3 linked regions of the Arabidopsis thaliana genome follow. The protein of the gene in region 1 interacts with the protein of each later gene in a pairwise test. Each region holds a gene or a part of one and is shown on either strand. Other genes may lie near its edges.

Region 1 (5,249 bases):
GTTGAGAACTTAAGACAATGTCAAGAACATCAAAACCATGTCCTGATCATACATTCTCTTGTTTAATCAATGTATTATAGATTGGACTGAGACTCAAACACAGATGCCACTCGATGTCAGAAACGAGCCACTTTCGTGACAAAAGAAGCTTGGAAAGCAAAGATAAATAACGGGTTTGGTTGGACATATCAAGCCAGTGAGGATTAGACCTTAGATGGAACCTTGGTGTCAGTGTCCACCTGTTTTTGGCCTTCGAACTTGTCTATAGCCACTTGAAGCTCGTCTGTGCCACCAACCGCCCTCATTGTGTAGAAGTATACCCCAAAAACAAAAGCTGTCAAGCCACCAGCTACAACCGTGTTCTTGCCTTTTGGGCCTAGGTAACTAAAACCTGGAAATCCCGCCATTACTTCAAAGTCTTTAACCTGCAAGATCCAATGTGTCACATGTTACAGAAGAGACCCAAGTATCAGAAGTATTAGATTATGTTATATCTTCAATATCACAGTTTCATAAATACTAAGATGAGGAATAACAAGAGAGAACTCTGAAGCATGATATAACAACTTTTGATTACTCTTTTTAACATTGCAGAAGTGACTCCAGAAGCCCTGAGGCATCGCAGGACATTGACATATTGTTCATATAGTGAAAAACAGATTACACAGATTGAATACGACGAATTTTCGAATTGTTATACTTATACCTCATCCTAAGAACTACTACGCCAAGAGTAAGTGATAGTACTCACAACGAGATCAAAGATGAGTACAATCATGGTATGAATGAACAACTGAAAGTTGCAAAACATTTCAGCAAAATAGAACTTTCTTCTGCATCATAATGGAAACGGAGAGAAAATCAATTGGTCACATTCATGCCCATCAGTCTAACATAATTGTCCACAAAATCAGCGCACTTCCCTTTAACGAGTCAATCAACCATAAATCATCAACCAAAGCAAAAATAAAGGCAATTAGAAACCTAACTCTACATCTATACATCCAAAGCTAACATCTTTTAAACGCAGGCTACTGTTACTCAACCAAAGTTCTCAAAACCAGATCAAAATGTCAAAATGAAAGGAGAGCAGAAAATATCAATCAAAAATTGGTTCTTTAAGCAAATTACTCCAAAGTCCACAAAATTAAAATGGAATCGAAAGGAACCTGGTGATGAAGGTTTGATGATCACTCGAAAATCCGAAAGATACAACAAAGCTGATATTTTTTTCTTCTACAGAGAATCGTGCCTAAATGCGACAGAAGCCTAAAGTTTCCCTATTTAGTTGACAACTGGTTCGGTGACGCTTAGTGTCGTGGCCACTTACCAATCTATCGAAAACCCTAAACCCAGTAAGAGCTCTCGTGTGAAAGAGGGATAGAGGCAGAAAGCAAGCCGTCTCGAGTTCGAACCCAACTGTATAACACAAGAGAAGAGATTTATTGCTTCATTATGTAAAAAATATTGAGATGATCCTTGTAATTTTGGAATATTATCAAATTGAACCACCATACTTTTTAAAAATCCAAATAACCCTCAACCAAGCATGTTTCATGTTGTGGCCTCATTCACACTATACGACTATCAAGTTCATCGAAATTCTTGATAGAGAACTTTAAATACTTAAATAGTTAATTTAGATACTATCTAATAACTTTTGGCGGTTTATAAGTTTTTGTGTTTTTCAATCTACATAAAATTTAGCGATTTTTCATGTTACAAAAATAATCTCAAAATTAAAGTACAACCCAAAAACATAATATCAATGATAATAACTACATTTATCTATGATTCATTTTCACCCAACATTTACATTCAAAAAAATGCTGTTGTTACTTGTTAATGATAACGATTAAGGAAGGAAGTCAATGGAACAAAAAAAAAAATGGTGATAAGTCAATGTAAAACGATGCCGTTTGTAACCATAACAGTGTTAAACATGAGAATAAAGGATCAAACTTTGAACAGTGGCTTGCTTGCTTGCTTACACACACGGGTCAAGTGAAGACCCAAAAAAAAATAAAAAAATTAATAGATCCGTACGCACATGACTTTCACTTCTTGTCTCTCAGATCTGTTTTGACCCCAAAACCAACGAATATCAATTTCTCCAATTTCATTCATAATTCACTCACCCCAAAATTACAAAAAAAAAAAAAAAAAAAGATTTTCCATTTCCCTCTTCTCGATCCACCACCACCACCAACCTCAAAAGCTTTCATCTTTACCGGTCATGGACGGTGGTTCAGGTCAACCGGCGGCTGATACAGAGATGACAGAAGCTCCTGGAGGTTTTCCCGCGGCGGCTCCATCGCCTCAGATGCCTGGGATTGAGAATATTCCGGCGACTCTTAGCCATGGTGGTAGGTTTATTCAGTATAACATATTTGGAAACATCTTCGAGGTCACCGCTAAGTATAAGCCTCCGATCATGCCTATTGGCAAGGGTGCTTATGGCATCGTTTGGTAATTTTTCTCCGATTCTTTTGATTTTTGGCTTTTGCTTCTAATTGAAATAAAAAATGATTTTTGTTGATTGGGTTTTGGTAAAGTTGGTTACTTTTGATCCGCAATTTGTAAAATTGATTCCTTTGTATCGTTTTTGAGCTCTAATTATGATTGGGATTTATTTTTGTTTCAATGAAAGCTTTATCCTTTTGTGGTTTTATTTGATTTTGATTTTGCAGTTCGGCTATGAATTCTGAAACTAACGAGAGCGTTGCGATTAAGAAAATTGCTAACGCTTTTGACAATAAGATTGATGCTAAGAGGACTCTCCGTGAGATCAAGCTGCTTCGTCACATGGATCATGAAAATGTCAGTTTTTGCTCTTTCTTTGTTAACTAAGAGTCATCTGTTTATAGAGTCTTATGTAGAACATAATAGGATTGTAGATTTAAATACACTCGAAACATGGTAACTACTAGCTGATGCAAAATTGTTTAGGTAAATAGATGATGTATATATTTGATTGATATTGTATGGGCTGATTAGGTTCTGTGTATGAATGTGTTGTATCTGGTGGTTGCTTATTGCATTTAGATTTAAGGGAATATACATGAATGTTGACACAGTGTGCTTGTATTTTTTTCGGTTTGATACGGATTGTTTCGCGCTTATTCAGTAGTATGATCTTTTCCATCTGCGTCAAGATTTTAAATTCTAGAAATCAAATCGTAAAATGTAACCGTTTATCTATGTTGGCGTTTGCAACGTGTAAAACATTTCCGATTGATAAAACACTTACCATCTTTCTGTTAAATCAGATTGTTGCAATCAGAGATATTATCCCGCCACCATTAAGAAACGCTTTCAACGATGTTTACATCGCGTATGAGTTAATGGACACTGATCTCCATCAAATCATTCGGTCAAATCAAGCATTATCCGAAGAACATTGCCAGGTTTTGAGTTTTGAGATTGTTTGTTGACCTATATAACTCGACTTGAAAACGGGGACTAATTGAACTCCATTTCACTTGTCTCTTTGTGCAGTATTTTCTTTACCAGATCCTCCGTGGATTGAAATACATTCACTCTGCAAATGTGCTTCACAGGGATTTGAAACCAAGTAATCTCCTCCTGAACGCAAACTGCGACCTAAAAATCTGCGATTTTGGGCTAGCTCGAGTCACTTCTGAGAGTGATTTCATGACTGAATATGTTGTCACGAGATGGTACCGTGCACCAGAGCTTCTCTTAAACTCTTCTGATTATACTGCAGCTATCGATGTTTGGTCTGTAGGCTGTATTTTCATGGAGTTAATGGACCGTAAGCCACTCTTCCCTGGACGAGATCATGTCCATCAGCTTCGCTTGCTCATGGAGGTAAGTAGTAACCCTTCTTTGACCCAAAAATAAGCTTTGAAGCACTAAAGAAACAGACCGAGACCATTTTCTTTTTGCAGCTCATAGGAACTCCATCAGAAGAAGAGCTCGAGTTCTTGAACGAAAACGCAAAGCGATACATAAGACAGCTTCCACCTTATCCTCGCCAATCCATCACTGATAAGTTCCCGACAGTGCATCCTTTAGCTATAGACCTTATCGAGAAGATGTTAACATTTGATCCTAGACGGAGAATCACAGGTTAGTCCCTAACCTCTATACCATTTTTAACTTGCAAAATAACTGGAATTGCTTGTACGGATCATTCCAAAATCCCGAAAAAAGATTCAATCTAGTGAAGGAATAATAATAATGAGTTCTTGGTTATTTAAGAGTTAGTTAGTAGTCATCACCTCTTATTGATTCTTGATTCTCGATTCTTGATTCAGTTTTAGACGCATTGGCCCATCCATACCTGAACTCGTTGCACGACATAAGCGATGAGCCAGAGTGTACAATACCTTTCAACTTTGATTTTGAAAACCATGCACTCTCAGAGGAGCAGATGAAGGAACTAATCTACCGCGAGGCGCTTGCTTTCAATCCAGAATATCAGCAATAGTTTGAAGAACAGCATTTGGGAGATGAAGATGAGATAAGGGTTTGGCGTTATTTGGTTTGGACAACATTCTTAAAAGGAGGAAAGATCATTGTTTGTCTTTTGTGTATACTTGTGAGAGATGTTGAAGGGGATGGGTCTCAAACTTTATATTTCAGTCTTTTGGATAATTTGTTCTCTCTGTTTTTTTTTTTCCTATTCGTATTTGTAATTTGCCCTCATTTTGTTGTTGCAGTTATTTAAGACTTAAATTGTCTCAGAAATAGTTATGTTATGATAGCCCACCTTCAATTCCTCTACAAAATACTTGCCATTACTGTCAGCTTTCTTGTTTTATAAAACAGCAGGGAGAGAAATATTGCAGGGAGATGAGGATAGTACAAATCATGTCCTCGGGGTGAAAATTGAGCATTTGATGAACACAATCTCAAGTCTTGCACTGTGTCAACTCTTAAGACTGCCAAAGAATTTTGATTGTGGTGCAGGACCATCAGCCTCATCTTTACTTTGGTTTTGAGTGTCTGCCTCTAGACTTGTGTTTCCTCTCCCTCTTTGGCCTCTTAGAACTTGACCTTGACTTCCTAGATTCGTCTTTGTCACTACTTGAAGATTCAGAAGATGAGCTTGAGTCTGATGATCGCCTTTTCGAATGCTGCAAATCAATAAACACAATGTAAGCTAAAAGCTTCAAGCCAACAGAATTATAGAAGATGTTCAAACTAAACTCGATGCAGTTGTTATGTAAGCACCTTTCTCTTTTTGCTTTTCTTCCTCTTGGAATCTCTGCACTTTCTATCTG
Region 2 (4,501 bases), on another chromosome or scaffold:
ACAATCTGTTTGGAATCGGCTTCTATTCTGTCCTCCACTCTTATCACTTTCCCTCAAGGATTTCAACACCGGATCTATGCTTCTGAAAGCTGTGACGGACTTTTCTGCATCCATTCCCTAAAAACACAAGCCATATATGTAGTTAACCCGGCCACTCGGTGGTTTCGACAACTTCCTCCGGCTAGGTTTCAGATTTTGATGCAAAAGTTATACCCCACTCAAGACACTTGGATTGACATAAAACCAGTAGTCTGTTATACAGCATTCGTGAAGGCCAATGATTACAAATTAGTGTGGTTGTATAATTCTGATGCCTCGAATCCAAACCTGGGAGTTACAAAGTGCGAGGTTTTTGATTTTAGGGCAAACGCTTGGAGGTACTTGACTTGCACTCCAAGCTATCGGATATTCCCTGACCAAGTACCAGCAGCTACAAACGGGTCTATTTATTGGTTCACGGAACCATATAATGGCGAAATAAAAGTGGTAGCTCTCGATATTCACACTGAAACGTTTCGTGTGCTACCTAAGATTAATCCGGCCATTGCTAGTTCAGATCCTGACCATATCGACATGTGCACTTTGGATAATGGTTTGTGCATGTCGAAAAGAGAATCGGATACGTTGGTCCAAGAGATATGGAGGTTAAAATCATCAGAAGACTCATGGGAGAAGGTTTATACCATAGATTTGCTTTCTTGTTCTTCTTCTTCTTTATCTGAGTTCCGCGATGGATTTAATTGGACACGAAAAGATTTGGTTGAGCCATCCACACCAGTGGCGATATGCAAGGACAAGAAGATTCTGCTCTCACATCGCTATGCCCGCAATATGATCAAATACGATCCCCAAATAAAATCTATCAGTTTAATTTACCAACCTCCTTTGTGTAGAAGATATGCTTCTTATTTTCAGAGTTTGATCTCTCATATATAAAATGCTTTGATGTATTTGGAAGCATGTAATGTAAGAAACAAAGCATTAATTGTTTGGATTGTTATATTATCCGATAGCATGCTGTTATTCATAAATCATAATAAACCATACTTATTTCGCCAAATGACACTATACTTACCAAAAATCATACTACTTTATGAAATGATACAGATTTTTCAAAAAAATGAGGACGAGTATTTTCGTTAATCCACACAAAAATCAGTTTCATTCTGTGTGTGGATGTAAAAGGAAGATGAAATATAGATTTTATCTTAAAGGGACCATTGCCTCGTTGTTAAAAAAAAGGGACCATTGCATCCGACATCTTTTATCCGTATTAATCTTGAAATGTTTATTCAATATACTTTGTTGCAAGATTTTTTTTTATTCAATATACTTTTGTTATTCATGTCAAAAAAAATTTGATTAATAGCCAATCTATGTAACAATCTAAACACAAGTTTGCCGCTACAATTAATATGAGTCTATGACACACATCACAAAGTTTTGAGAGATTAAAATTCTTTAGTCCCAAATACTTCAAATATAGAAAAAAACTACAATTTTTCTTTTCAAAATTTGTTTATTTTACGGTGACAATTTTTATGATTGCCAACCAAATCCCACATTATTAAGTTTTTCAACCAAACTGAACTGTATACTTATTTTGATTATTAACGGTCGGATTTAGCTTTAACTAAATCATCTTCCTAAGCTCTATCACTGAAATAATTCTGCAGACAAAAAAAAATGAGAGAGAGGTGGCAAAGATGAAGTGGAGGTGAGAGACGGAAAGCAAAAACAATAGTCACGAGAATCAACACCAACTCTTAAACCAAGATAGACCAAGAAACCAAACAGAGTAAATAAATGGTGGCCTTGACAACATTGAAATCCCCAAAAATCTCAACTTTTTAGGGTTTTCGAGCTCTGAAATCTCTCTATCTTTCTTCTTCAGATTTCTCACTTTTTTCTTCTTCATAAGATCCTCGTGATTCCACTTTATAACGTACGCCTCCTTTCAAGAAAAATCTCTCTCTATATTATCTACGTTTCTCTCGCCTTGTCTCCTTTTGAGGTTCCATTTCTACTTCTCTCCAAAATTCGAAACTTTTCCCACTCTCTCTCTCTCTCTACTAGTTTGACATGAACAGCGACGGTGTTTGGCTTGACGGCTCCGGTGAATCTCCGGAAGTTAATAACGGTGAAGCTGCGTCTTGGGTCAGAAACCCAGATGAAGACTGGTTCAATAACCCACCACCACCACAACACACTAATCAAAACGACTTCAGATTCAATGGTGGCTTTCCTTTAAACCCCTCAGAGAATCTGCTTCTTCTTCTTCAGCAATCGATTGATTCTTCTTCTTCTTCTTCTCCGTTATTACATCCTTTCACACTCGACGCTGCTTCACAGCAACAACAACAACAACAACAACAACAGGAACAGTCTTTCTTAGCTACGAAAGCTTGTATAGTTTCTCTTCTCAACGTCCCAACCATCAATAACAACACTTTCGATGACTTCGGCTTTGACTCTGGTTTCTTAGGACAACAATTCCATGGAAATCATCAATCTCCGAACTCGATGAATTTCACTGGCTTAAACCACTCAGTACCGGATTTTCTTCCAGCTCCGGAAAACAGCTCAGGATCATGTGGATTGAGTCCTCTGTTCTCAAACAGAGCAAAGGTTTTAAAACCGTTACAGGTAATGGCTTCATCTGGCTCGCAGCCAACTCTGTTTCAGAAACGAGCTGCAATGCGTCAGAGCTCGAGTAGCAAAATGTGCAATTCTGAGAGTTCTTCTGAAATGAGGAAATCGAGCTACGAGAGAGAGATTGACGATACTAGTACCGGAATCATCGATATCTCTGGATTGAATTACGAATCTGATGACCATAATACTAATAACAACAAAGGTAAGAAGAAAGGAATGCCTGCAAAGAATCTTATGGCTGAGAGAAGAAGAAGGAAGAAGCTTAATGATAGGCTTTACATGCTTAGATCAGTTGTTCCCAAGATCAGCAAAGTAACCAAAAAGATTCTTCCTTTTTTCTCTTTGTTCTCCTTAATAACTTCTTGTGTCACTAATTTTGGGTTGCAAATGTAGATGGATAGAGCATCAATACTTGGAGATGCTATTGATTACCTCAAAGAGCTTTTACAAAGAATCAACGATCTTCACACCGAACTTGAATCTACTCCACCGAGTTCTTCAAGCTTGCATCCGTTAACACCGACTCCACAAACGCTGTCTTACCGTGTTAAGGAAGAGTTGTGTCCATCTTCCTCCTTGCCAAGTCCTAAAGGCCAACAACCAAGAGTAAGAATAAGCTCAATTGCTTTCTAGTGGACAAAGCTGTATTCTTTAATTTTCTTAGTAACGCTTCTTTGTTTTGATATAGGTTGAGGTTAGATTAAGAGAAGGAAAGGCAGTGAACATACACATGTTCTGTGGACGTAGACCAGGTCTTTTACTTTCCACCATGAGAGCTTTGGATAACTTAGGATTGGATGTTCAACAAGCGGTGATTAGCTGTTTCAATGGTTTTGCTTTGGATGTTTTCCGCGCTGAGGTAATATAGTTGTTAAGATGCTATGCTGATCACTGATTAGTAAAACTAGCAGTCAAAGAATAGTTATTTGAGAGAATGATTAGTATACAAGTAACAACATGTTTTGTGTTTCTAATCAGCAATGTCAAGAAGACCATGACGTGTTACCTGAACAAATCAAAGCAGTGCTTTTAGATACAGCAGGTTACGCTGGTTTGGTTTGATTGCGAAGCAGAAGGAAGCATCTGTGTGGAACAGAGCTAGATCTAAGTCCTTGTTCTGTTTTAGTCAGCAATTTTCTTACTTAGTTTCATCAATTTCAATCATGTATGGAAGATGATAACTGTTTTATTTTAGCTATGAGAACATGTGTTTGGGGAACAATAGTTGCAACCTTTGAGCAAAATGCCATTGTTTCTCAATAATTCTACTTTGCTTTTCATTTATATGTTGTTTGCAAGAAGAGAGCAATGTTGATTTTCATTGATAAAACACACATGAGTCTGTCATGAGAAAAGGCTAAACAAAATATTAAGAAATGCACAATTCATAGGCAAACGCTCTGATATATCAATTTTTCAGAACAGAGATGAATCTCTATGTAAAATTCATATTCTTTATAAATGTCTGAGCTTGGTTCAGTTTAGTAAGATTTGGTTTGTGCCGTGGGCGACTGAAGATGTTAAAGACAAAAACATAATGGAACCAGATAAACTTGGCTAATTGGTAAGAATTAAAAGAAAATCTATGGTATAAATCTTCTCCCATGTGTCTTCTGATGATTTCTTCAGCCTCCAAATATTTTGGATCAGCTTATCTCCTTCTCTTTTCGACATGCACAAAGCATTATCCAGAGTGTATATATGGCTAGGATCTAAACTAGCAATAGCGGGAACTATCTTTGGCAGCAACCGGAATTTTTCTGTAATGATATCGAAAACTATTACTTTGATTTCAGCATTATATAGCTCTGTGAACCAATAAAGCGTCCCGTTTACAGATGCTGGC
Region 3 (5,722 bases), about 10 Mb from region 1:
AGATTTCATCTTAAACACTCTGTTGCAATCAATCAAAGTTCACAACTTTAGAACAACGTTGATCAGAGCCAATACAATAACACTAGAAGTTTCGAAAGGCTGTTCAGAAACTAGGGTTTTTATGCAAGATGGATGGGTTCCGTTCACAATAGTTACGATTCGATTAAATTCAATTAGGGTTGCTAATCTATTTCACTGAAGTTCTTATAAAAATGATTTACACAAACCTGAAGTACGGTAAGAGGTAGATGAAGAAGTTTGCTCGCAGAGATTTCAGAGGAGAAAGCGTGCCGTTGAAGGTTTGTGTTTTTGGTTTTGATAAAGTCAGGTGGCGTGTAAGGTATATTTATAGGTAGGGTTTTATCTTAACGTTTACTGTTTGTCTTTTTCGCCAACTTCATTTTTCCATGTGTCAATAAAACATGTCTTACAATTTTTATTTTATAATTGTCGGTTTCTTACCCGAAATGTTTTTTTATAGGAAAATTTGTGTTAGGTAATTTTGCAATTTCATTTACAAAATATAGCACGCTCCTTTTGAGATGGGCTAAAATCGTTCCAAAGTTTGGGCTTACACGCCTAACCATTGGCCCACTCCAGTTTACTTCTATCTTTCACCAAACTAAGAAACATTGATCCTTGAACAAAAAGTAGTATATGTTTATATGATGACAAAAAAAAAAGAGTAGGAAATCTATGATTCTATAGGAGTGTAAATGAATAAGCTGTGATAAATTTAGGTTATTTTTCTTAACGATATATATTGTTAGATCAAATTTTATAGTTACATCATTTGGAGTATAATGTAAATATGTTCCGCTTTATAATAATGTAAATATGATTTGTAATACTAATGAGAACACACGCTCATTGTCTTCCAGTTCAAGAAATATCTTAAACCCCACTTTTTATCAGCCACCTGAATTTGAGTCTTCCTCTGCCACATAATAAATTGTTTACATGGACCAATTCTTGGTTACAAAACATCTGATATCATATCGTGCAATTAAGAAGGTATTAAATGATGTTTTTTTCTGTGGCATTTGTATATACTTTCAAGTTTCGACCAATTCTATAAGTTAAGAAAAAGGCATTGAGGGAAATTTAGGTTAGAAAAAGTACACAACGATCCCAGCAATGGGAAGTAGCTATCACTTTCAGTGACCCTATTTCTCTGAGTGGGCAATAACATTGTAGGCCCCATTCTGTGGAAAATCCACTAACTTCAATGTCTGCTCTCATTTTCTATTGTCTCCTTCGCTGTTTTTTTACAATTTACGTTACCACCAAAACTATTCCTTTGTTTAATGACGAAAACGCCACTCTTTCTAAGCAAAATGTCAGAGAATTTTGTTTCTTTGTTGGAGAGTTGAAAATATTTTTTACATAGAAAAAGAAACCAATAATGCAGTCAAATAATAATAGGAAGCAAATAATAATGCAAGTATCTCTAATTCTCTATATCAAATTGTATTCAATCATATTCACCAGATGTAACCTCTATAATGGAACCTTTTTGAATATTAAAATATCATTAGATCCTATTCTTACAATGTATCAATCAATTACTAATTAATTTTCTCTGGTTTTCTTGATATAACAATAACGTTAAAAAATCTCATTGTTAATCTCTTTATGCCATCATTAGTATTGTAAGATTTTGTACACTTTAAATTGTAAATTTGATCTTACAGAAACAAAAGATCTACAAATCTTAGTTACAGAAGATAATGGTATTAAACTATACAAATCTTAGTAGTTTAATATTATTAATAATCAAAATTATTCTAAATTAGAACTTTTACAAAATAAACATTTATCAGTCGCTTTCATAAATGTCAAACAATAAAAAAAGAAAAAGAATCAAAGATCTAAAGAGTGGCATTTTTATGACGTCACATTGAAATCCAACCGTGTAAATTCTTTTTTTTTCAATATAAGCAAATTAATTCACACGTTTTGTGCGCTGTCTTCGAAACTAAATCATTTATAAAAAAGACAAAACAGACAAGAAAATACAAACTGTCAAAAGAAGATTTTATATTGGTTGATTTGAAATCTCTCAGCAAAGAAGAAGAAGAAAGATTAAAAAAAAACAATCCTTTATTATTTTTCATTTCAACTCCAATTTTGATTATCTGGGTTTCGAATATTCCTCATTTTCTCCAATCACAGGACGAAAAGTAATCATCTTTTTGTCTTTTCTTCTCCGGCGAGAGACTACAATGGACTCTCCGGTATCAAAAACCGATGCATCGAAAGAGAAATTCGTGGCTTCACGACCATCAACGGCTGATTCAAAGACGATGAGAGGTTGTGGACTCGCGAATCTGGCATGGGTTGGTGTAGATAAAGTAGAGCTTCGTCAGAGGTTGATGATGCCTGAGTATCTTCGTCTCGCTATGCGTGACTGTATCAAACGCAAAGATTCCTCGGCTATTCCTGATCATTTACTTCTTCCTGGTGGTGCTGTTGCTGATATGGCTCCTCATGCTCCTATGGTTGTTTTCATTAACCCCAATTCTGGTGGTCGTCATGGTCCTGTTCTTAAAGAGAGGCTTCAACAGTTGATGAGCGAGGAACAGGTTTTGCTCTCACTGAACTTGTATTTCAAATCTTTTTCTTTGGGTTTTTGGGGGAATTTCGAATCTAATTTGTATCTACTTTGTGTTTTGATTATGTTAGTTTGGAAACTTTCTTAAAGTCTCTGGCTTTTAAGTTTTTAATGCTTGATTTATATGTTTATGCTTAGCTGATGTTAGATCTAGTGTTTTGTTGGAACTTTGAAGGATGAGTTACGTTTAAAGATTGAGTCTTTTGGAAAGCTGAGTGATGTTGATGTTGTCAAGTTATTGGTTTGAGCTTTTGATATTGAAACTTCATGGTGACTTTTGTGTTGATACAGGTGTTTGACCTCACGGAAGTGAAGCCGCATGAGTTTGTTCGATACGGGTTGGGGTGTTTGGAGAAAGTGGCAGCGGAAGGAGATGAATGTGCAAAAGAATGCAGAGCAAGGTTGAGGATTATGGTGAGTGTATTGACCATATTTTTCTCCAATCTCTATAGATCCACTTGAATGTTTTTAGCAATCAGAATTGTGAATGGAATTGGTTGGATAGGTTGCAGGAGGTGATGGTACTGTTGGTTGGGTTCTTGGATGTCTTGGAGAGCTTAATAAAGATGGAAAGTCGCAAATTCCTCCTGTTGGAGTTATTCCTCTCGGTACAGGGAATGATCTTTCAAGGAGTTTTGGTTGGGTGAGTTGTGTTTTCTTTGTTCTCTCTTATGTTGTCGTGACAAAACTTTTGAATTGGTACTGACTATGGTATCTCTTCTTCAGGGTGGTTCGTTTCCTTTTGCGTGGAGATCTGCTGTTAAAAGAACACTCCATCGCGCAAGTATGGGTCCAGTTGCTAGACTTGACAGGTAAAAGTCTTATTTTGCTCAAAACATTTAGCTTTTATTGTATTTCTCTTGTTGTAAAAATGTATGCGCTTTGGTTATGTGGTGTTGCAGCTGGAAGATTTTAGTGTCAATGCCATCTGGAGAAGTCGTAGATCCTCCTTATTCTTTAAAACCCGCTGAAGAAAACGAACTTGATCAGGTTTTGCTCTATTTCATTAGGCTTGCTTCTTCTCATTGAATCATCAGCATGTGATTTTGTAAATTGCCACGGTTTAGTAATTAACCAGGCTTTATGGTGGTTTCAGGGTTTGGACGCGGGAATTGATGCGCCTCCACTTGCAAAGGCTTATGAAGGTGTTTTCTACAATTACTTAAGCATAGGTTTGTTGAACTTCTCTTTTTGATATCCTAAACAATTTTCACAATTGTTTTTCTGACCAGATTCTTGTGTTTGTCTGGTTTGTTTAGGTATGGATGCTCAAGTTGCATATGGCTTCCACCATCTTCGCAACACTAAACCATATCTTGCTCAAGGCCCTATTTCAAATAAGGTTTGTTTATTATATTTGCACCTAAACTTTGGACTCATTATTTGTCTTTGTTAAAAGCTAAAGTAGTTATGTTGGTTTTGAGAAACGACATTACCAACCACACAATGTTTGCTTTTGCAGATTATATATTCAAGTTTTGGTTGCAGTCAGGGTTGGTTTTGCACGCCTTGTGTCAACGATCCAGGTTTAAGGTTCGCCATTTCGACTCTTATTGTGTAGTTGAACTTGTGTGTAAGTCTCTGCTTAAGCCCTTTGTTGTGTTGTTGACCCCTTGTTTGTGCTATATGAATTTGCAGGGGACTTAGGAACATAATGAAAATTCACATCAAAAAGGTTAACTGCTCTCAGTGGGAAGAGATCGCAGTCCCGAAAAAGTAAAAAACAGTTTTCGATATATGATTTATGTATTACAATCTTTGATATCAATGCTTAAAACCTGATGCTATGGATTTCTCTTGTAGTGTGAGATCAATTGTCGCATTGAATCTTCACAGCTATGGAAGTGGAAGCCATCCTTGGGGCAATCTAAAACCGGACTATCTAGAGAAGGTATTGTTTCTGTTCCATTTCATCATATATGAACTCAGTTCTCTGATGTTAACCCGAATGTTTTCTTTGGTTTTTCTCAGAGAGGCTTTGTGGAAGCACATTGTGATGATGGTTTGATAGAGATTTTCGGTTTTAAGCAAGGATGGCACGCGTCATTTGTCATGGCTGAGCTCATCTCTGCCAAGCACATAGCTCAGGTAACTTCAAAAGACACTGGTCAATGTATAATCTTTTTAGCCATGTGTTTGACTGTTTCATTTTGGTGATCATTTCAGGCTGCTGCGGTAAGATTTGAGCTAAGAGGAGGTGACTGGAGAGACGCATTCTTGCAAATGGATGGTGAGCCATGGAAGCAACCAATGAGCACTGAGTACTCAACATTTGTGGAGATCAAGAAGGTTCCTTATCAATCTCTGATGATAAATAATGAATGATTGAGATTCAAAGCTGGATTCTTTGTACAAAGCTAATTGTTTTGTATTTGGATTTGATTCAGTTAGTCATAGATATAGCCTAAGCTTTTTAGTCTTCTTTTCTTTTAAATCTGAGATTGTGACCATTTTTCTCTTTTTAATTTCTGCTTATTGTTGGTTTTGTACATTTTTGTGTTGTGAGGAATGAAGTTTGTTTATTTATAAGAATGTGGGAAGATAATATTTGGTCAAATTTCAATCTCTCTTCAATCTTTGTAATTCTAGCATTGAGCACATAGATGTGATTCTTTGTCATATTTTTATTTATTTTAACACTAGTTCGACTGAGAACCAATTTATCATCGACACCAATTTCTAAGTAAGAATATTTTTAATAATTATCATTATTAGTCGTATATTTTTACCAGAATAATAAAAAATTAAAAACCTAAGTTAATAAACCACACAAAAAAGTTTTTCTCTCTTCGCTCTCTCGTAGTTTGTAAAGATAGAAACTGAAATTTCTTTTGTTTTTGTTAACCGGATAGTTTTCCGGTGAGTCGCCGTCCCGTTTAATTCGGGCTTTCGTCCGACATCTTCTAGCTACGTTAGTGGAGATGGTTGGCTTTTTGTATGGCATCGTTGGCTAACTTAGCGACGTTGGCCAGCTTCCGTACGGCAGCGTTGGGCTTACACTAACAGCGTTGGTCATCTTTGTTTTTGTTTTGTTACTTCAAAGGTTTGATGATGAAGCTTTATGGCATGCAGAATCGTCAGATCTGAAGAGGGTTTCTCTTTACAAGA

What was found. Proteins that work in one complex are often made in the same cells at the same time.
Region 2: the proteins of MPK6 (region 1) and SCRM2 interact in binary tests that used the Arabidopsis thaliana proteins (3 or more experiments, as listed by UniProt).
Region 3: the proteins of MPK6 (region 1) and DGK3 interact in binary tests that used the Arabidopsis thaliana proteins (3 or more experiments, as listed by UniProt).

What each region holds. Positions count from the first base shown.
Region 1 is NC_003071.7:18,136,241-18,141,489, forward strand, and holds MPK6 (MAP kinase 6), read left to right. Parts: upstream 1-2,005; 5' UTR 2,006-2,236; coding exon 2,237-2,469; exon of another isoform or gene 2,470-2,690; coding exon 2,691-2,820; intron 2,821-3,269; coding exon 3,270-3,407; intron 3,408-3,498; coding exon 3,499-3,831; intron 3,832-3,911; coding exon 3,912-4,092; intron 4,093-4,280; coding exon 4,281-4,453; 3' UTR 4,454-4,748; downstream 4,749-5,249. Other genes in the region: AT2G43780 (cytochrome oxidase assembly protein), read right to left, coding at 204-425, 752-811; AT2G43795 (corepressor), read right to left, coding at 4,895-5,102, 5,200-5,249. UniProt on the Arabidopsis thaliana protein: Mitogen-activated protein kinase (MAPK) which regulates abscisic acid (ABA) responses in a MAPKKK20-MKK5-MPK6 cascade involved in root growth (e.g. root cell division and elongation) and stomatal response.
Region 2 is NC_003070.9:4,382,676-4,387,176, forward strand, and holds SCRM2 (basic helix-loop-helix (bHLH) DNA-binding superfamily protein), read left to right. Parts: upstream 1-1,628; 5' UTR 1,629-2,082; coding exon 2,083-2,967; coding exon of another isoform or gene 2,968-3,048; coding exon 3,049-3,261; intron 3,262-3,343; coding exon 3,344-3,514; coding exon of another isoform or gene 3,515-3,523; exon of another isoform or gene 3,524-3,633; coding exon 3,634-3,717; 3' UTR 3,718-3,976; downstream 3,977-4,501. Other genes in the region: AT1G12855 (F-box family protein), read left to right, coding at 1-936; AT1G12870 (F-box and associated interaction domains-containing protein), read right to left, coding at 4,454-4,501. UniProt on the Arabidopsis thaliana protein: Mediates stomatal differentiation in the epidermis probably by controlling successive roles of SPCH, MUTE, and FAMA. Functions as a dimer with SPCH during stomatal initiation.
Region 3 is NC_003071.7:8,116,751-8,122,472, forward strand, and holds DGK3 (diacylglycerol kinase 3), read left to right. Parts: upstream 1-1,985; 5' UTR 1,986-2,225; coding exon 2,226-2,585; intron 2,586-2,905; coding exon 2,906-3,028; intron 3,029-3,119; coding exon 3,120-3,257; intron 3,258-3,340; coding exon 3,341-3,426; intron 3,427-3,516; coding exon 3,517-3,604; intron 3,605-3,710; coding exon 3,711-3,786; intron 3,787-3,873; coding exon 3,874-3,956; intron 3,957-4,076; coding exon 4,077-4,147; intron 4,148-4,252; coding exon 4,253-4,330; intron 4,331-4,417; coding exon 4,418-4,505; intron 4,506-4,585; coding exon 4,586-4,702; intron 4,703-4,780; coding exon 4,781-4,939; 3' UTR 4,940-5,197; downstream 5,198-5,722. Other genes in the region: AT2G18720 (Translation elongation factor EF1A/initiation factor IF2gamma family protein), read right to left, coding at 1-9; AT2G18721 (uncharacterized protein), read left to right, coding at 249-356.